3 linked regions of the Oreochromis niloticus genome follow. The protein of the gene in region 2 interacts with the protein of the main gene of each other region in a pairwise test. Links are inferred from orthologs where the notes say so. Each region holds a gene or a part of one and is shown on either strand. Other genes may lie near its edges.

Region 1 (7,580 bases), on a different chromosome or scaffold from region 2:
GCACGACGCGGGACTTTCCTGGAAAAAAAAATTAAAATCACGGAATCCAAGAACGGCTGCAGCGGGAAAATTCTGGGAAACTAAACTCAGATAAAAATAAAACGAGAGGATTCTGAGAGGCTGAAAACCCTCCACTCAGAGGAGGAGGAAGAAGAGGAGGAGGAGGAGGAAGAGCTTGTTTTCCTGCCCAGGGCTCCCTCGTCCACCTCCTCCTTTTATTGCCTCCCTCTTGGTTTCCAGGAACCTGATAGCAGCCTCCCAGCCGGATGTTTGGGATCCCGTTCACATGACGCTGATTCTGCATAATCCTAAACCTCCTCGGAGCAGACCAGTCTGCTCCCATTTTTCTAAGTGGAGAATTTGTTCTGCCGAACACTTCGACTCCTCTGATTTTAATAACTGTTAAATAGTGTATCATATTTGAAACATACATTTTTTTGTGAGTTTTTGAGACTTCTACATCATCAGTGGGATTTTCCCCCTAAAAATAAATGGCACTATCCATTTTTAAGCAATTTTTTTTAAAAAAAGAAAAAGCCAAATGCAACAAATGCAATACAAATTAAAAGTCATGTATAAAAATTAAAATGTAATGGATGGATAGATGGTTCAATAAACTGTCCATTTTCAAAAATTTTAATTTTCTGGGAATTATTTCATGGTTCAGTCCTAAAATCAGACAATATTTCCATGAGGTTTGGTTGAATTAAATGTGACCCAGTCACCCCGGTCAGAGTCTTTGATGTAATCCAGGTTACAGAGGTCCAAGTGAAGTGGTCTTACACTTGGACCTGGTCACACTGAATGTAGTCTCCATCCGGTTGTTCAGTGATGACGTGACGAATCCTACTTCCGGGCCTAAAGTAGTCTGCCTTTAATATGGCTTTTGTGTTGTTAACATGTTTAATGTTTTGTATTTTCTTCCATTTAATCTCAAAAAGCTCATAAAACAGTCAGTGATCACTGTTGACCTCCCTCGGCTTTTATTACCGCTAATCATTTATTTAAGCTCAGTTTTTAAAACCTTACGATGTAACTACAGCACAGCCCATGCAGCAGTATATGAATGACTAACCTCGTATTGTGGATGGATTATCTCAGTTGTTCTCCTGGCTGAAGTTTAGTCCTTTTACAGCATCCTGCCATGCGATTACATTTGTTCCTGACCACCGAGAACACTCACGTTAACTTTTATCGAGTGGAAAAAAAGTTAGTTTGTTTATATTATGCTAACATAGCTGTGTCGCTAGCGGTCACGTAGCACATCATTATATACCAGCTAGCCAAACTTCAGTAACCCTACAAACGTCACTGCTGTTTAGTTTTCTGTCTTCATTTATGTTGGAAGTGATAGCAGAGCTGTACGTTTGAATTTGTTTCCAAAACCCCGCAGCCAGGACATGCTATATTGTATTTAGATAGAAGCTAGCGAGCTAACTTCCTGCTAACTTCTAACGCCGTTAAATGTCATAAATTCCATTTTCATGGATGCCTGGATGTTAAACTCAATTGTTACACCTGGTAGAGCAGAACACTGATCATTTTATTAAAGATGAAAGACTTTAGACAGTTTTTCAACTCTCAGTAATGCCACAGTGATCGTTTGATATATGGACCTGCAGCGGAGTTTAGGCCCAGACACGGCTAGTGACGTCAGACTGAACAACCGGATGGAGAAACATCAGTGACCTCTGACCCTCGTCTGATCCTAAAACAAAGGCCAACACGTAACCTCTGCCACGTGTTTCTGCCAACAAGACTTCTGGGTTTATGCAGTGACGTATGATTCCACCGCACCCTGATTGGTCTTACCTGTGGGTCCGGGTTCAGGTGGGGTCTGGAGCTCCTGCAGCAGTAGGTCCCGGACCCAGCTGAAGTCCTGCAGGGACAGCAGGAAGGACTGGAAGGCCCGGGGCCCGCGGCTTGGCAAGAGGTCCAGGAGCCTGAGGGTCTTCTGTCTCTCCGTGGACCGGGACTCGATGTCCTCCACCTGCGCGTCCGTTAAAATCTCCTCCTGGTACAGAAACGGAACGATGGTGTCGCTGACCAGTAGCTGGCCGGACAGCTCCAGCCGGTGTTTTCGGAGGACGGCTCTGTGCGCCGGGTCCATTTCACCGAAACCCGACTAATTAGCTCACATAAATAAGCAGTTCCACATCATTAAACTAGTCATTTGTGTCAGCTCACCGCCCGTACAACTACCTTTCAACTGCTCTGTGTTTTTGTGCTCGGGTGGAAACAAGCAGGCGGAACGAAAGTCTTTGCTAATCATGTAGCTTTCACATTTTTCATGCCAATACAATCGCATTTGCTTAGATTGGTGGTTAATTATGGGAACTATTTGCGTGGAAGGATTCGTTAATCATCGATCTTAAACTCGGCATGCGTTTCTACCCCAGATAAAATCAACTTTGAGGGAAAACAGATGTTATGCAGATTGCTTCTGATAAGATGATTTCTGGTGACGTAAATGTACGCCGAAGTTCGGTGAGAAGCCTCGCAGAGCGTTCCACTTTACTGATTAATATTCATAATTAATAAATCCACGAAGAAACCTCAAAAATAAAGTATTCAATTAGGTTCAGCGTACCAGAGCGTCGAGCAACGTTAGCTAACACACAGCATGAGCTAAAACCAAGGGTAATTTTATAGATACAAGATAAATAAAGAATAAATAAAGTTTATAAAATATCTGCCGAATTCATTAAAAAGCCACAATCTGACCAAAGAAGTTAATATATTTATTCTATCAGATACTTACATTTAGGAATTCAACATAAAATTCCCAAACTGAAAGATTTTCCATGGAGTTTACAAAACCTCGTGTCACACTGTCCTTTATTACGAGCTTTTATTTTCAGAAGATCAATTTACAGTTAACTGAATCTGTTTTTGACATTGTTACTGATAATATGTGATTCATATGTTTATTTGTGCTTTCATTTCTGTTTTTCTGACTGAAGGATAAACTTCGTACAGCCAGCCAACATGAAAAAACATGTTGTGTTTTTTAAAATATATTTGGCAGTGATGGGGATTTAAACTGAAATTAAAAACCTTTTTCACACTTCAGAGTTTTGTGTCTATTTTTCTATTTTTCACGTTTAATGACATCACTGAGATTTTTTTTTTTTTTACTGATTTAATTTCCAGTCAGACATGAGGTTCTATTGATAAATCTGCAAATATGTATGTAATATGTTTTTAAATTAATCCTGTTTCTGGATTTAATGTCCTTCCAAAAATGAACCCTCTATGATCTGTTGAAATAAATTTTGCAAAACACAGCGTGGTGTGTTTAAAGACTTCTAAAAAGAAATATCAATAAGAAAAATCAAAAAGGAAAAACATCAATAATTTATACATAGCCACAAAATAAAACACGGTACACTGAGACAAATTCATAAAGCTGACTACTGTACAATGTCTCATTTGCACATTTAAAAATGTGGGGGAAAAAGAATCTCAATTTTTACATCTTTAATTTAAAGGACCAGGAAGTTTCATCTGTTTTAATCATGAACTTTTGTAATTTCTACAAATCTAGAAAATGGATGGAATAACTTGCAGCAGTTCTTGCTAAATGAACTTCAACAACAATTATGACTGTTCTGGCTTCCATAAAGAATAGGCCTTCATAAACTAACCCAGAGAAACAAAATTTAACAGAGCTTTTATTAGCATCATTTGTTTCTTTGTATTATACTTTTTTAAAAGTCTCATTGTTAATGAAGATATTCAGCTTTTTCCTCTCAATAAATGATAAAAAAAAACATTTATTACACACACACCTGTCCTGTTTCGTCCTGTGGATGTGAATCAATAACAGCATGAAATATAAGCAGCAGTGAGACGTTATTGATGAGGCACCATATAAAATTTATTGATCTCCTGGTGGGAGCTGATCAGTTCATCTTTTACATGCTTCAGAAACACAGACATGATCAATAAATACTTTATCAAATCACAGGGGCTGCGATATGTACAGGAACGCGCACACGCTTCGCCTGCTTGGCACATCCATGTTTAATTCAGCTGCTCTTTGTCATCTTCATCATGGAACTGGTCAGATATCAAGGCTGAAGCACAATCAAACACCCTGATTGGCCCTCCTTATACACACACACACACACACACACACGACACACCCTGTTTACCTGATCAGCTACATAACCACACAGCTCTGCCCCTTCTCCTGTAGAACAGGAAGAACAACCCCAACATGGCCGATGCTGAGCTGTGATTGGATGTTTGAAGATGATTTTAAAGAAAGGTGACAGAACGTGAGCATGCAGCGTCGACGCCCCGTCCTCGATCAGGGACAACTGGGTAAAAACGTAACCCTTTAAAACTGTAAATTTCTGACAGTCACTTGTGTAACCCCCATTTCTATGGTAACAAACAGGTTGGATTCATGACTAAATTATTTTTTTTATTAAATTGCATGCTTGCTTGCATGCCTGTTGGATTAATGAGACAACCACAAGATTCCGCAGGCCCCCCCAAAAACATGCAATTTTTGAATGAAGTTTGGTTAAAGCATTAACCATCAACACTGGTGGGTGTATATGAATCCTAAACGCAAAAGCTTTTTAATAGGGCTTGATCAGGGTTGTTAAACATTGTCCAGTCAGTCATAAAGATGTAAAATGAATTTGAATTTCTGAGGTTTGGTCAAGGTCGGTGTGACTGAACATGTTTGTGAAGCGTGGTGGTTCAGCGGGTTTGTTTTCCACGAGGCGACAGCGCATGGAAGCATGATGGCTGGAGACATAATTGAGACTAAGACTGTTTAATCCAAATCACACCCGCTTGCACCACATTCCTGGGGATTTTTCTTTTACACTGGGGCTAAAACAAGAACTTTTTGTAAGCAGGAAAAACCCCGATGAATATGACGACAACAACAACAAAGATGGTGCTGAAATTACCGGACTATCACAACATTTCTAAGAGGCATAAAGCTAACTACTAACACCAGCAGGATGTATTTTGATTTTTGAATTGAGTTTGGCTGAATTGTAGTTAAAGGTTCCTTCCTGAGTAAGGGCTGGAAATTAGAGATTTGGTGTCAGTGAGACTTCCTGGTAAAATAAAATAAAGATATAAACATTTTTTTAACCAGGTCTTTGTGTCTGTGCTGAATTTAGGAGACCGTGATACTGGTCCTAAAAATGTGGGACTTTTAAATCGAGTTGGGTTGGAAGGTCTTCACACAGCCTGAAGCTGGTTCATTGCTGCAGACTGAGGTTATTTGATGAACTGAGCTTTGAAAGTGTGACTTTCCGTCTCCTTACTACGGCATTAACAGGTCCTGCACCTTTGCAGCTCTGAGCCAATCACAGAGTAAGAAAACTGAGTATTTACTACATGCAGGTACAAAGTCTGAGGGGGACATCAGCTTGTTTTCATTCAGAACGTCAACGAGGACACCTCGACTCTCCACCTCACCAGCGTTCACTGTCACAGGCTGTCCATCGGCCAATCACAGGGCTCTGTTTACTTGTGTTTACAGGTGGGACTGACAGGCTTTGACTGGTGGAGAACAATGGAAAATTATTCTGTTTCCTGGCTTTTGTTTTCCTTCTGTTAATTATTTCCATAGAAATCCTCACAGAAACTTAAATCATGAAGAGGCCAAATAATCAAACAAAAGATCAATTAGAAAATCACTGGAACTGCTGACTGGTTTTAGAATATTTTCAGGTTCAGGCTTCTTCAAACTGTTGAATTGTTCTTGTATATATTTTTTTACTGATCAAACAATAACTTAATGGGAACAATTACTAACTTGATCAATAATAAATATTTAAAAATGTGAAAAAAAGGTTAATCAATAATGGATTAATATTCATGTTTCAACACTTAAATTTCTGTGACCAAGTTGAAAGAGGTCACATATGGAGGTACAACATCGCCAAAACTGTGCACAAAACCATTTAAAAAAAAAAAAAAAAAAAAAAAACCCCACACAAAATAATGAAGTTATGAGATGGGACATTTTGTCTCATTTTATATTAATACCTCCATTTATTTAATTTACGTTTTCTTCAATTTTTGAATTTATTTAAAAATATTTTAAATAAAAATAATCATTTATATTTTAGTTTTGTTTCTGTTCTTTTTTGCCTTTGTATTTCCCTCCATATTTTCAAAGCTTATTTACTTTACCTTTTATTTTAAAATCTTACAAATAAAAAAACAAAAACACATTATATAATAACTATAAAGTTAATATTTGTTTTTACTTATTTTGTTAAGTCATTTCAGTCCTCGTCTTTTAAAAGCATACTGTCTTCTGATTGGCCAGCTTCTCGACACCCACTGTTTACTTTAAATTTGAAATAAAGTGAAAAGCTAGTAACCCATGAAGCCAAGCCCCCACAATTTGCTGTGTTTACTTTCTTCTCACACCAGACTCCATTTAAAAAAAAAAAAAAAAAAAAAAAAAAGCCATTTTAAGTAGGCCTGCTACAATTGAAGTTGACTGTGACGCATCATATAGTAAAACCACATGAATGTGTTTTTATAACGACAATACACTACAGGAAGCTACGGGGGCAGTAATGTTGCTATCATCTGGCAAGACTGGACTCACTACTAATGAAGAAGCACATCGTGTAAACAGCAAAAGTGGATGACAGAAGTAAATTGAAAGGGAGATTTAAAAAAAAAAAAAAAAAAAAAAAAAGAGTGCAAGTATTTTACAGAAATTAAACAGTTAAACCAGACTGTGCAAAACGGAGCTTTCCTTCCACGACAGCAGTGCACAAGCATTTAAAACGCTGCCACCCTGGAGCTGTTACATCAGCTCTGATGAGTCCATTATTGAGAGTTAAGTCAGTGCGTCACATTGATACCTTGTTCATGTTTGTACAGTAATGTTTATGTTTACCGGTCAGAAACTTCTCAGGATGATGAAGCATTTAAGTTTCGCTAGCCAATGAGTGAAAACCGATAGCAAACCAGTAAAACCTCTGAAAAGAGGCTGGTGCACCTCTCAAATCGCTGAAGTCATGACAGAAAGCATCTTCAGCATGTTTATCAGCAATTGTGAACATCATCTTAAAGACAAGAGCGAGCCTTACTCCATGAATAATCTTCAAACTGGTTATTTTGAACCTGAAAAAAAAAAAAATTTTAAATTTAATTTAAAGCTTTGAGCTTATGGAAAAAATTTGTTATATTTTTTCCCACTCTTGTTTAAAGTAGCACTTTAATTTATATTACTTAATATTTTATTCACTTCACTTTTATTCCGACTGTCCTAATAGTAATGTTAAAGATACATTTGATTATTTTCAAATTCACGTGCTTCCTGGGTAATTATTTAAATTTGCTGTTGAATGAGACAACAGGATGACATTCACAGGTGGGCAGACCTGAGAAGGTGAGGTCCTGGAGCCTAGAACAGGTTTGCCCACAGAGACAAGAGTTACTGAACTAATCGTTGACCAATTTAAGAAAAATTGGCAGATTAGTCAACTACCAATCTTTAATTGCAGCCCTAATTTTAAGGGAATATTTTCCAAACCTGTTTTTTTTAATCTACAGGGTCATCTGTGATTCATCTGCAGACA
Region 2 (7,012 bases):
TGCCAGGATTTCTGGCACATCCCTTTCATTAAACAAGGCCAAAGATATCTGTGTAGGTTCTCGGTCATCTGGGTCATGGTAGAAAACACAGACAAGGTCAAAGATGGTAATAAAGCCAGTAGTTAAAGTCAAGATGCTGAGTTTTAATCATAAGAGTGCTAAAAAAGTTCTGCAGTTACAGATCACTGCTGTTTTTGTTCACATTCACCCTGCAATCCAGAACAAAGTCTACCAACAAAGGTCAACTATCCACATATGTTTCTCTAAATGATTTAATAGATTTGTGTTGGCTACATTGCCAAAGGAGGTGCACTCCTCCAAGGCTTTTTTTGCTGCACACAGGAGGAAGGACACATGCAAACTCACACACGAACAGAAAGTTCAGATCAAAATGATAAAAAGTGTCTATAGCCCACATGGACAGTACTCATAACACAGGCTTCTGTCTTTTTTGTGCAATCACACGATTAAGTAAGCATATGAACCCTACTTACTTTCTTCTCGTATTCCAAAAGTTGCTTTGAGAGCTGCTCTGTGGCCAGTCCCATCTCACTCTGTGGTGGAACGAAAGAAGGAAAATAAATACATGTTAAGAAAAAGGACTGATTACTCCTTCAAGCTCAAACATCATGCATTTTTTCACTTACTGAGAACATTTATAAAAAAATGTTTTTTGGGTGCAATGCGATTCAATATCTGTTGAAAAGCTGGCGAAAACACCAGAGGGCACCTTCAATAATGAGATACCTCAGAGAACCAGGGTTACATTAATAACGCAACATTTTAACCACAAAGTAAATATAGGTCAAAAACAAACTTCTACACCAAATGTTTTCTGCTCCATTTCTACAGGAGACAAATTTTCATTGTGGGGCTGAGAGTATGGTGTTACAGTTTGGTACGTTTCTCATCAAAAACAGTAGCTCAAATGGCATCCTAAATCAAATCAAACCAAACACAACACTCTGCTGCTGTTCAGTGATGCAAAACCCAGAATCAGCAAGTTAAATTAGAACTCATGTTCATCTACAAACGTAAGGGGGGGAAAAAAATCTCCTATTATGTGTTTGAACATGTGGCTCTGTTCCAAACAGCAAATGGAAAGGAGTGCAAGCCTGCGCCTGACAGTAATTTGTTTTAGTACCTGTGCTCCGAACACCCGCTGCATTGATTGTAGCAGCTGGTTGGTGTAGTCTGTAAGCATTCCCACATCTTCCTCAAACACACTGAGCAAAGAGCGAGTCTGTGGGTAAGGGGAAAAAACAAAAACATTACAGACTCTTCTGATGAACACTATAATGGCATGAATAGCTGAGCACAAAGTGAAATAATTAGAAAAACCTTATCCAACAATTTTCCCACTAACTTACAGAACTTAAATATTCTGATAACTGATCTCAGTTACTTCACAAGGTGAAAAATATCACTGTGGCTTTTTGTTGTGGTAGATTTGCATGAAAACCCATATGAAAGTCTGGCATCCTGGAAAGTTGTAATGGGAACTTTTAAAACTGTTTTCTGACCAATGAAAATGAAAAAAAAAAAACCCCCCAGAAGAACAGATATACTGTAAATAAACAAGTACTTCCGATGATAAATACTGGTCTTAACCTTAAGTCAGATGAAAATCTACACAAGTCACTGAGCTCAAGAAATGTGGGTAGCCGGATTATACTCAAGCAAAACTTAAAGTTAAACTAAAGGCATACGTATTTTACTGCAGGGTGGATATGCAAACAGACAAAATCCTGTCTGGTGAAGTGTTTTCCATAAACAGGTGCAGCAAGGTAGGGCAGTTCAAGCAGAATGGAACACACCCAGAGAGTGAAGTCTGTTTACAGTTCACTCAAGCTGACTTATCCAATAAAAGGACCATGAGTCATTTCACACCAACAAGACATCATGACGCTTGGCTGTATGTGTGTGTTACTGTACAAAGATGCCAGGTACATGTCTTGTTTTGAGGAAGGAAACCACTAAGCAGACAGTGACCCTCCAGCGTGGGTTACACTTAAGCAGAACCTCCAAAGAGGTCAGCCCTCTTTAGAGGAAGAGTGATGCAACAGACTACAGAAAACAGGATGCATTAGATGTAGCAAGGACAGAATTCATCACCCACGGTCATGCATGAAAATGAATGCCGAACTCGGTGAATAACTTGTACACAGTGTAAGCGTTTTGTACCCTGTAAAAATTTGGCATGTTATTTTTGCAGTAACACTGCCCTGTTTGCAGACTGTTGACTAATTCCAGGGGAGTCCGATAATGGAAACCCCTCCCACATCCTGGGAATCAGGCCCAGAAGGGCTACAGAACAGAATTTAGATCAAAATAACTTCACGGCATTAGAAAATAAAACGATTGCAGGACACCGAGTCTGGTGGAGCTATATGGTTGTGACTGACACAGGTCTGGATGTACACCAGATAAATCATCTCTGGGAGAGAGATGGAATCCCTGAGAAGGGCGGTAGCTTTGTAAATACAACGGAGACACACAAAAAATCCACATAACCGTGACATGCTGTAGAAATGACTTGAAGGTGCAGCTACTGCTCACAGGGGGATTACAATTCTTGTAACAATGTGTCAATTGAGAACTGTCATCGACCAGTGGAAACAGACTACAACGGGTACTGGATACTGTCTGGGCTAAGCTAACTTCGGCGCTCGTAACGCCTTTAATGAGACAGCTGGGTACACAAACATGAGAAAAGAGACGCAGGCCTACCTGAGGACTGTCCTGTAAAGCGTCCTCCAGGAGCAGTTTGTGATGTACGGCCGGCATCTTGTTAGCTGTGCAGGAGAAGGGAACGAGGGCTTGAATTATTTAGAGTACGGACTCAATTTCCCAGACACTACTGCGCGAAAAAGAGAAGCCCGTATGCAATTGGTAGCAGGCCCAGTCATGATGTCATCTAACAGCTGGTGACCAGTAAGAGTAAACATCCTCAAACTCTGAGGTTGTTTAAAGACATATAGAGATATATACATATAGATATATATATATAGTTCAGTGTTTAAGTTGATTTTATCCTAATTATTTACGGCAAAGCGTCGGCGATAATGGCGACTTACAGTATCCTAGGACATTCTAATGTCAACAGTGACCCCGTGTGGTCACATAAAGAATTGCAGCATTGATTTTTCAAATAGGGTTTTAAAAAAATTTAAAGGAAAAACAACACAAAGTTTCTTCGTGAGGTGATGAAATGCAGTGCTGTGCAGTACTACAATTTTTAGTATCGATGTAATATCAAGTAAATAAAGAGCAACTACTGCCGATACCACGCTTTAAAGCTATAAAGCTTACGTAGGGGAGAGCAGTGTCATGTTGTATGAGATAAAGCCTCCTTAATTGACAAATTCTGAACCCATTTTAATGAGTTTAATAAAACAAACACACCTTTCAGTTTTTCATGTATTTGGAAATTTGGTTTTTCAGAATTCTAAATGTTCCCCTCTCTCTATTTACTGTTGTTTAAATGTGCTATAGGCTATAAAAATAGATTTGACAGTCAACACAAAAGGGTTCAGACATTTTTCATAGCGGATATTTTTTCATTTCCCCCAAAAAAAGAAAAAAGAAAAAAGAAAACAAAACATAAATAATGTATCCCAATTCAGTATGCTCCGTACTGAACTTAGAGGATAGGAACAAAGTATCAATCTGATACCTATCCTAACCTCTAGATGGATCATCATGTGCCAGTAGAAAAACATTAGTGCGCCACTGAACTCTACTGGAGTCCTGTTTAAGTGGTGGGAGAAAGCACTGTCTGATTTATTGGACCAATGTCTTCCATAGATGCTCAGCTGGGTATAGATAACATAACATTTCTATAAAATTTATACTGATCAATCCATTTAGTGGCAATTCATGCCATATGGATGGAGGCACTATTACCCCAGAACAGCTCACTCCACTCATTACAAAATAAAATGTTCCTTTACTTTGAGGAATAAACAAACAAACAAACAAAAAAACCCCACCAACAACAAAAAAGGATTGTTGATTGATATAAGGAAGCAGTTAGTATTTATTGAGAGATAAATGGATGTAAACCAATGGATGGTGATAAGTAGCACAAACCTTTTAAAATTACATTTTAGTCTGGTAAGTAATCAGGACCAGAAGCTCTGTCTTGCTTTGCATCAATCGCAACTGACAAATTGGCTGAGCATGTGATGTGCTGAGTTTCTGGCTCTCTAATTAAATCGCAATTACTGCAAAGGCTATACAAAGTAAAACAAAAACAACAACTAAAACATATTTACTGTTTTGTCCTAACAGGTAGTTTGAGAAATAAACCTTTGCAAAGTTAAACCTTTATATAACTTTGATATAATGAATATAAGAGTACTCACTGTTTTTTTCTCTCTATAAAAATCTGTATTAACATCAGCCCTAAAACCTAAAAACCTAAAACAAATCCTGCTATATTAGGCTGTGGCACAGTAAGAAGACAGCATGTAATATGCACTCGTGTAGTATTTTACATTTTTTCCAATCTGAATAACTGTCTTGTTGACTTGTTAGGATGGCCATGTCATGTTGTGTTGTGCCTTGATAATCTAGGCAAGCTGTGACAAGCAGTGCCTCTTCATCAAGCTTCCAGGCGGCCTGAGTGGGAGATCATTCTTCGCTCCCCAGTGGACTTGCCTTGTTTAATTGGTATAGTTGTGGCTGTAAATCAGACAAAGCTTTTCAGCTCTAACTTTGATAATGAACTATGTTTGAAGTCTGGTAAAACAGCAATGGGTATTGTCTGGATAGCCTCTTTTAAATAAAAGAGTGATTCAGCTAAAGACCACCCTGAAAGGAGCAAGCTGCATTGTATCTGGCGTACAGTTAATAATCTTTGCTTTTCTAGGGCTAAAGTAAAGCCCACCTAGTCAAAACATACCTTAAAAGTTGTATTAGCCATACTAATTTTAGCATGTTAGCCTTCTAACAGTTCCTAAATAGTGCTAAGTACTAAGTGTAAATGCAAAGTAGACTGAGAGTATGTCAGTTTTGTTGATATAAAATAATTACACTCATGTTCATGAGGTAAATGTGATCACTATCCCTCTGTCAAGCTTTCTCACAGATAATGCAGTTATAAACCTTGTTAAGGTGCCAAAGCAAAAGTCAGACGAGCACCAAAACTTTTAGAACTTCTTCTACAAACATAAAGGGGATGACAGACATCTTTTGAAATACTGACGCATTTTTATCCAGAAGATCCTTTGCTTTCAACTCGTACCTCTGCCCGGTAACCATCCCACAGACTAGTCATACAGATCCTTTCACATACATTTAAAACAGCTGTTAAGAAGCAGATTGCTTAGCTTATGCCTGGGTGTTAATATATATCGTGTCACATTTATTGACACATATATTGTGTCTCAGTGCGATTTGGAAATGGCCGTTCATTCTTTTGTTTCTCACACCTCGATTAATGTAATTCATTATTGCTTTGCTGGAGGAAATTATTCCTAAATCGGTTCTCAATGTTACTACGAAACTACTCACCGGGTCTTCTATAAGGTCCATTGTGACGCCGATTTGAGCTTCTTCATGCTGGTAAAATTTAGGGTTCAGTAGTGGTTATCGCCTTTAGAGTGCTTCATAATCAGATGTCCTGGATTTGGACTTACTAGTCTTCTACATCATCCACATGCAATTGCTAGATCTCTGAGATCAGCTTGCTGGCTGCACCTAGATCAAAGTTAAAGACAAGAGGAGATTTGGACCCACCTCCCTACAATCACCTTTTATTAGTTTAATCACTTTATACTGTTTTAATTGTTATGTCTTAATTTGTGACTTTTGATCTTGAACACTGCTATATAACTAGACAATGCTTACTTATTTACATGGCCTAAGGTCAACCATCCATGATGATCTCTTGATCAGATTGTGTTGAGACTTTTTCTGACAGTTCACCCCCAGACGTTTAAAATGTACCTTCTGTCCTGCTCTTGTGTGCCACAAAGACTGGATGTGGTGAATTTCATGCAGATGCTTTACCACTCAAGGTCACCTTTTTATGATTCTCTGTGTGGGTGGCTAACAGTGACAGGTACAGAAATATGTTCTTTTAGGAGAAAAGTTGTTCAGTCTGAGCTGCAACTGATAGTAGCTCACCAAAGCTTGGAAGTACATCCAAGCAGGTGGAAGCTGCTGTGGGGGGGCTCCGTGGCATTCTGCACTCCTTCATTGTGGTAGCAGCAAACCATTCCAAGTGGCCGCTGACTTCCACAGGATCTCTTACGCCCTGCGTCCTCACAGACGCCATCAGCTCTTGCTGTGTAAGGAGGTGAATCAGGTCCAAAGCTGATTTTTGCAGCCCACCTTTGGATAGAGCCCCAGTATAGTTGTTTCCTCCCGTTTTCAGTGACTGTGTTAAGCTAACCAGCTGCCAGTTTTACAATGAACTGACAGATGGCAGTGTCATCAGTCCTCTCACGGCGCACATAAAGAGCAAGCATGAGGCGAGAAAGCATTTTTCCTATAATGTATTTTACTTCAGATTGCAATGGATTGTGCACAACAGTTTAAGACTGACTTTACTGCACACAAGGCCTTCTTTTTCTTCTAGACACTTGTAATTGTGTATGAGAAATTTAAATAAAATTAGTCTCACACATCAGTTCATCTACACATAAGAAGCATCTCAGGCCTGTGGAAATGAGTCCATCTAGCATAAAACAGAAAGAGAATTTATGATGTCTTTTTTTTTTCCTCTGGAAACGTCTCATTTGAATTTTAAAAATCTCGACTCCCATGATAATATAGATAACACCGCTAACAGAAAGTGTGAATTGGTTTGACTGGTGCAGAGTGCTAATGTAATGCTTCTTGCCATCATACTCTACTCATGTGACTGCTCTTGCATTTCAAGCGCATACATCGTGAGTGAAATGAAGAACAGAGATGCTCTGAGAATCACTCGGGGCTATAAAGAGGCCTATGCACGACCCTTTGTGGTTCCACGTGTTCACTCTTCAAGGTTTTTCCATATTCT
Region 3 (7,277 bases), on a different chromosome or scaffold from region 2:
CCTTGTTACACTGATAGAGACCTTCGCACATCTTAAGCAGCATCTGACGGATGCTGTGATGGCATCCCTAATGGGTACTGCAAACCTCCACAGGGAAGTGGGTCAGGGAACGAGAGACAGTGGGACATAGGTCAGAGGGGGAGGAGAAAAGGCAGGAAAAAGCAACAGACGAGAGGGAGAGGCTGTGAAATATTTATTGTGGCCCCCTTGTATGTTCTGCTGCTGGCATAATATCCAAGAACTTAGTGATTGCGGTTTATTGCAATCTAAATTGGAGAATGCATGCACAAATGAAATACGTTTAAACAGTCAAAGAAGTAATGAAAACATTTTTTTAATTGCTTTTGCTCCGTGAACAAACTCTAGGTATCGTTAAACATTAGTTATACTGAAAAATTAAGCAGAAAGATCAGGTTACCAGCTGCTATGACCAGTTTACAAGTGTTTTTGTGACTGCTAGATTTGAAGATTTTGTATTGTTGTACTAGTGCATCATCGAGGCTCTTCTTATGCAGAAAACAAGGTGTCACCTAACACCCTAACACCATTTCTCAGAAGACCATATTTGCAGAAGGAAAATAACAGGATTAATCCTCCATTCCTGGTCACACAATTAAAAATGACATTTTGTAATTAATAAATTTTGGTTTGCTTGGACAGTATGATCTTCAGACTAGATTTTAATAAAAGAAAATCACTTTCACATTCAATTTATAAACTAGATTAACAACCTGCCACCAAAACACTGTAATTAAGAAGGCAAGCAGAGACATGTGCAGTTCACTTTATTTGAAGGGTGGGGTCGTGCAAAAATGGTATCTGATGAGGGGCTGCATGACCATACTTTTGTCTTTTGATTATAATCTCATCTGCTTGTACAGATGGCTGTGTCCAAATTTGCATGGACACATGAGCATATATTAAAGGCCTATCTATTGCCGCCAAAGGTAATAGTTTGTCCTAGGTTGTAAACAAAGATTGAAAAGCAGCGCCATACTTGGGAACTCGAAAGAAACAGGAAATGCTCTGAATCCAAGATAGGTTCTTTTACAGTTTGGGGGGGTTAAAAACAAAGAATAGCTTTGGCATTGTGATTTTAGATGGGAATGTGTGGACACAATACAGGAAAAGCAAACACCACACTCATCACGAGCATCACTGGCACTTTCCCCCCCTATTGTGATGAATGAGTGAAAACCTTAGTCACTAAGCCTAAAATCAGCATTAGCCAGAGGTCAGATCTTTACCTACCAAAATTATAGCAATAAGAAAAAAGAAAGCTCTCTTAAAATCTAACTGAAATGAAAAATACAATCATATCTGTATGGATGGTCAGATGGATCCCAAACTGAGACCTTTTATCTCATCAAATTGTTTAAAACAGACTTTGTCCCCTTTATGACTTCAAATGATTTTAAGTGAATTGTTAAATAATGGGATTTGATATTTGATCCTTTACACAGATTTACTCAAAAATGGAGTCTAGTTGATTGAGTGACACTTAGTAGATCCAGCTGTCCGTTTAACTACAACAACTTACAACTTTAAAGGCAATGCCAAAACATAGCACCCAAATGTTATCCATACTAGTGTTCAACTAATTTGCAGTCCTCCTTTATTTTAGGGCTGGGTTGTCAAAAAGAGTGGCTGTTTAAGAAGGACAAGGTCCACATGCCATAAACATGAGAGCTCAGGCAAGCAACTGTAAATCACATCTTTGTCTCAAAGGCCAAGCTCCGTTCCCCTTATTAAGCCATAAACATACACTGTGAAGATACACAGCATACAAAAAAAGTATTTGCTGTTAAATGCAAGAAGACACACGTGCAGGCACATAACAACCCCAACGATGCAATATGCGGATGTTACACCACAAAGTCAGCAGTAATGACATTTTAATGATGAGAAGGCACTGCCATAAATACAACTTCAGAGGTAAGCAAGAGACTATGTACGCACATTTACTCTGTCACACTATGTGATGCACAAATGCAACTGATAATAAAAAGCACAAGATTGTGAAAAGAGATTACAGCTGCCTTGATAGTACATCTAATTTAGAGAACATAAGACGACTGTGATGTGCCTCGACTGAGCCTAGACCTCGCACATAAAACCAGTTATTAAACACTTAACCGGTGGCAGGAACGTAACATATTAAGTTAGTTAATCTACAACTAATATTTCAAAGTAAGTGAGAAGTTTTGCTCGGTCGACGCCGGGTTAAGCACAATGATAAGGCAACTTAAACTGTAAAGGTAAGGCTTGCTTCAAAACAATCGATAAAATAACTATCAAACAACAATGCACCTGTCTTGGCTAAAACGGTACGTTACATTTAGGTGCGATAAGGAACCGCTATCATTAACGTAGACGACACAACTGTAACTTGTGAGTTCCACTAAGCACTTGGCTAACAAAATTAACGCTGACTACACAACGTGAAAGAATCAACCTTGTTGCTTACTTGGCAATAGCACCCATTTGCTAGCCTAAACTGACAAAGAAAACAAAGGCTATGTTCTTGGCAAGGAAACTTGACTTCTGATAGCATTAGCTGTGTTAGCAGCTATGGCCAAAAGTCGAAAGCGTCATTAGACAACTTTCCTTTTCTCGGCCCTGTGTCGTCAGCCGTCTGACGTTTGAGAAACTCCGGGACTTCTTATTGCGTCCACTTGCTGGCATGAAACGATGTCATATTTTTCTAAGCAACCTCAGGGCTCTGCCGTGGCATTAATATTTTTTTCAATATTTAGAATGTTTGTCCCACAGGGCAGCTCGTAGCTCCCCTCGATCCACTCTGATAAGGCATTTCGGTTGAGCCCGGACTTGGCTGATATGCTAAGCAGAAAAAAATAATAATAACAAAATAGATCAAACTATAGTAAACAGTTTGTCGACAAAATAATCCAACACACGTTCAGTATTGCTCTTCACCAACATGACTCTTAATTTCAAGTTGTTTTACTTACATTACTTTTTCTTCCTTCGCTGGTCTCATCGGCAGCAGCTGTCTTCTTCTTCTTCTTCTTGGGCTCCGGCCTTCCCTTCCGGTTAGCAATTTTTCCGGGAACCTCCCACTTTTTGTCAGTGGCTTTCTGACCAATGAGGACAGCGGGTTACGCTAGACCCTCCAGTCCGCAGCACGGCATTTTTATCAAGGTTTTATAATATCTAGTCATAAATAACATCTTAAATGATGTTAATTTGAATATAATTATAATATAATGATATGGTGTTTATGAAAATTATGTACACTGACAATAAAACTTGTGCTTTTCAAATGGCGTGAAAATTTGTAACAAATTTTGTTTAGCGTAATATTTTTAATAAGCTTGGGATAAGCTTGGAAGCTGCTTTCATAAAGAAGGATCCTTTTTAAATTTTTACTAATATTTTTAATGATCCTTGTGATGTCTCCAATGTCGAACTGTATGTATGATTTTCATCTTCCTTTGGCTTCTTCATTTAGGGGTCGCCACATCATCTGCCGCCACATCACCCTATCCCTAGCATCCTCCTCTGTCACACTAATCCTCTGCATATCTTTCTTCACTACATGAATCTTCTCCTGTGGGCTTCATTTTCTCCTCCTGCCTGGCAGCTCAGTGTTTGCCCAGTATATCCACTATCCTCTTCTATATATGTCCAAAACATCCTTGCCTCTTTAACTTTGTATCCAAGCCACTTAATCTAAGCTGTCCTTCTGATATACTCATTTCTAATTTTGTCCATCCTGGTTACAACCCAATGAATATCTTTGCATCTTCAGTTCTGCCACCCCCAGCTCAACCTCATGCCTTTTTGTAAGTGCCACCATCTCCAAACACTAACATCTTGTAAATGTTTCCTTTCACTTTTGTTGCTATCCTTCTGTCACAAATCACCTGTCACTCATTTCCACCCACTCTAACCTGCCTACTCATTTTTCTTCACCACTAATGGGCACTGTTCATTGTTAAACTCACCAACTTTCACTATCTCTTCTTGCATCTTTACATGTTCAAAACAAAAGATTAATTAATAGTGAAAGAATGGCCTTCTTTGCTTGGACTAATGACACAAAATCTTACATGATGCCCCTCAGTATATTATTAATTTCAGAATTGTTGTTAAATGCTAAAGAGTCACATGGACATAAATATATCTGCCATGATACTACCAATGAATAACAATATCAAGGTTTTTCAGCAGTCTGTAGAAAATGTCATTGCTATATGCCAGGTTGGTTGGACCAAGATTGGTCAAATATGATTAACATGTTTCAGGAATATTTTACATCATTCTACAGGTCAAAAGCTTGGTTGTGGCTCCAAAAGGCCATATCTGACTCAGATCAGTTATTTTGAGCTCAGTGTGACGAAATGTCAGTCTTGTGTTTGTTGTAGTAACGACATATCACCACTCAGGGGTGCTGCCCATCCACTTGTGGCTTCTAAGTCAACCCTGGAAACATTTTGTGGATGAATACAGCAGTGACAATTCACTTGATAGAAAAAAATAAATAAACAAATAAAATGAATAACTAGTCAAACAATTTTGCATTGAATGCTTGAGTGAGAGTGTATGGCTTGAAAATAAGATTGCTTCAGCTATGATATATGCAGACCATGCCTTAATCTCAACCAGAATTCACAAACATTATTAATGCCAGATAAAAACACAAGAACCATCAGTGGAAAAAAAGGTTTATTCTGTAGTGGCAGTTGGATTCCAATAGTTGATTGAGAATTTGGCTAAATAACAATTTATTAATTTCAAACTTCACACCAGATTTCTTGGTAAGGTACTCTAAACATTACATCAGCTTTGTTATTTACTCACTGATAGCATAACCAGATAGGGATGTCATCAGTGTGGCCTTTCTTTCATATCAAGAATGCTGTCCCCTGTGGAATGAGACTCCATGGTCTCTGTCCTCTCTTTATACAGTGAAGCTTTGCAGTCCATGTTTGGTACTTGCTCCATCAGAGAACTTGCCAGGTCCTGTGTTTGGTGGACAGGACTGGATCCTACTGGATCATTCTGTCTGGAGCCTTCGACAGTACCTCGCTGGTCCTCGTATCCTGTGTATATCAAAGTGTGGGCTCTTGATGGCGTCAAAGAGCTGAAGGCAGTGTGATACTGTGGTTGGGCTGAAGGAGTGGTGGATAAATGGATAGGTGTCTGGGATTTGGTCTGATTATGTAAAGAATCCGAGTTGGTTTGAACACTTAGGGGTGGCTGGGAGTAGCCACAGTTTACCGTAGAACATAAGGAGTGGGTGCTGCTTATTGTGTGGATTTGTGCACTACTAACCATGTGTGAGGCCTGACAACTTAATGGGTAGCCACTGAAGGCAGAACTGATGCCCAGGAGGGATGGACCTCCATGGGCATGAGAGAAGGTCATGTAGGGAGAGCCTGGAGATGTTCTGGGTGTTTGGAAAGGGCTAGAGAAGCACTGAAGCCTTTGAGTTGTGTCTCTGTCAGAGCAGCCCAGGTGTGAACAGGATGGCATTGTGCTTGACGAGTACAGCAAGGCGGAACTTGTGCACTGGGAGGGTATTCCACTGGAGTGCCATGTATTTCTAGCAGGATGGCTAATCATTTCATGAACAGTTGGTAACCCAGTGGAGATATTTAAAGGGACATCCGGTTGCCAGTGGCTACACGTTGTCACACTTGGGTTGGGGAGCACCTGAGTGCCACATGAACATGTGGAAGCTGGAGAGTTATTGTGGAGCATTGTCATATGAGAATGCAGAAAATGCATTATGTCATGGAGTTCCTTGGCAAGGTTGGAAACATCTTGGTTTAAGTTAATTACCTGAAAGAGTGAGAAAAATTGACTTTTTATTCAAAACTGTTAACTGTTTATTAGTAACTGTTATCATGTTAAGTTGATATGAATTCAAGCTGTAACTGATTAGATTTTCTTGTTCAAAGGTAAAGGTTACTGTGTCCTCACAAAACACATTTGGGCATATTTCAAGGAGCAGCGCTTTTGCCTAATAAGGGAACATACCTCTTTGCTCAGTTTGCTGACGCTCTGTCTCATTTCTTCTGTCTCAAGAAGCAGGTTACAGACGTGTAACCGATCTGAAAGAGGATTATTTTTTAAAAAGTGAGAAACTCATCTAATCTGTCCCGACTTTGGGTTATATTTAATGTCTAGTCCTTAATAGAAAGGCTTATATTTACAATTTCTCATTAATCATGCAGTTTTCAGACACTTTACCTGCAACATTAGTCTTTGCCTCGCTCTGTTCCATATTAAACTGAAATGTGTGATCATTATCCTCAATTCCATCCACGACCCTGACAGTAAGACAAATGGGTGTTATATTCATTTAAATATATGCAAACAGATTATTGATATTTGACCAAAGGAGAATGAATAGGTCACCTGGGACTGAGGTTCAGAGGACTAATACAAGAACCAGATGGCATGAGTTTGGCAGGCCGATGGTTCAAGTCTAGGTCACTGGTAAGACTGGGTAAAGGAGATGGAGAGAGCTCCTCACTGAAAAAAGGTTGTGGGGAAGGACTACAACCCCTGCTTCCCTGAGCAGGCAATCGGCAGAGCTGCAGTGCGCTGATGTGCCGGAGCTCCTCGCCTAGCAACGTGCTGAGGCAGGGTTGATGGACAGGGCTGCCCATACTCTGTAGTAAAGGCAGTCTCCGGTGCTGAGAGTAATTTACGTTGTCTGTGTGTTTTGCATCAGCTCCCTGAATGATATAGGGTAGTTTATGATCCATAAACTGAGGAGAAAACAGATGGAAAACTCAATGAAGCTGATTGCAAAGATTTGTGCATGCTTTTTGGTTGGGTAATAGATTTGTTTGCTACAAAAATTCTTAGTCTAGTGATCTTGATAGTGTCAGAAATACTTCTCTTGTAGGATAGTTTTAATTAAGCTTAGTGTTTTTTCTTGATGACTAGAGTGTAGAAACCATATATAGTGTATGCTGTTTGCTTCATTTCTCTCTGTTACCTAGCAGCAACTGGAGCATTGTTATCTCAGCTATAAAAAAAGGCATTTTAAGTGTTTTCATATCTACATGACATTTATCAAGAGTTCTAAGTTTTCAAATGCAATGCAAGGCTGACTAATCCTTTAAGCTAAGACAGATTTAGCTGACGCCTGTATCAAGCATGTCAAGGCTAAATTAATCATCCTAATGAGGCAGACATACCTGAGACTGCCTGGGTGTCAGCTGAAACCGTGTTACTCCCTAAAGGTATGGAGGTGAAAATGAACAAAGCATTACACTCACATTGTAAACTGAACATGT

Evidence for each region.
Region 1: the proteins of appl2 (region 2) and cradd interact in binary tests that used the Homo sapiens proteins (3 or more experiments, as listed by UniProt). The two-hybrid records come from large-scale screens. The link is inferred for Oreochromis niloticus from reciprocal best matches to the Homo sapiens genes APPL2 and CRADD.
Region 3: the proteins of appl2 (region 2) and rab5c interact in binary tests that used the Homo sapiens proteins (3 or more experiments, as listed by UniProt). The two-hybrid records come from large-scale screens. The link is inferred for Oreochromis niloticus from reciprocal best matches to the Homo sapiens genes APPL2 and RAB5C.

Annotation. Positions count from the first base shown.
Region 1 is NC_031981.2:22,776,367-22,783,946, reverse strand, and holds the start of cradd (death domain-containing protein CRADD), read right to left. Parts: upstream 3,013-7,580; 5' UTR 2,111-3,012; coding exon 1,813-2,110; intron 917-1,812; exon of another isoform or gene 1-916. UniProt on the Homo sapiens protein: Adapter protein that associates with PIDD1 and the caspase CASP2 to form the PIDDosome, a complex that activates CASP2 and triggers apoptosis.
Region 2 is NC_031972.2:47,236,139-47,243,150, forward strand, and holds the start of appl2 (DCC-interacting protein 13-beta), read right to left. Parts: upstream 3,048-7,012; 5' UTR 2,788-3,047; coding exon 2,731-2,787; intron 1,244-2,730; coding exon 1,145-1,243; intron 555-1,144; coding exon 495-554; intron 1-494. UniProt on the Homo sapiens protein: Multifunctional adapter protein that binds to various membrane receptors, nuclear factors and signaling proteins to regulate many processes, such as cell proliferation, immune response, endosomal trafficking and cell metabolism.
Region 3 is NC_031969.2:26,577,488-26,584,764, reverse strand, and holds the start of rab5c (ras-related protein Rab-5C), read right to left. Parts: upstream 3,113-7,277; 5' UTR 2,973-3,112; intron 1-2,972. Other genes in the region: kcnh4a (potassium voltage-gated channel subfamily H member 4a), read right to left, coding at 4,852-5,808, 6,007-6,080, 6,220-6,299, 6,388-6,743, 7,179-7,217. UniProt on the Homo sapiens protein: The small GTPases Rab are key regulators of intracellular membrane trafficking, from the formation of transport vesicles to their fusion with membranes.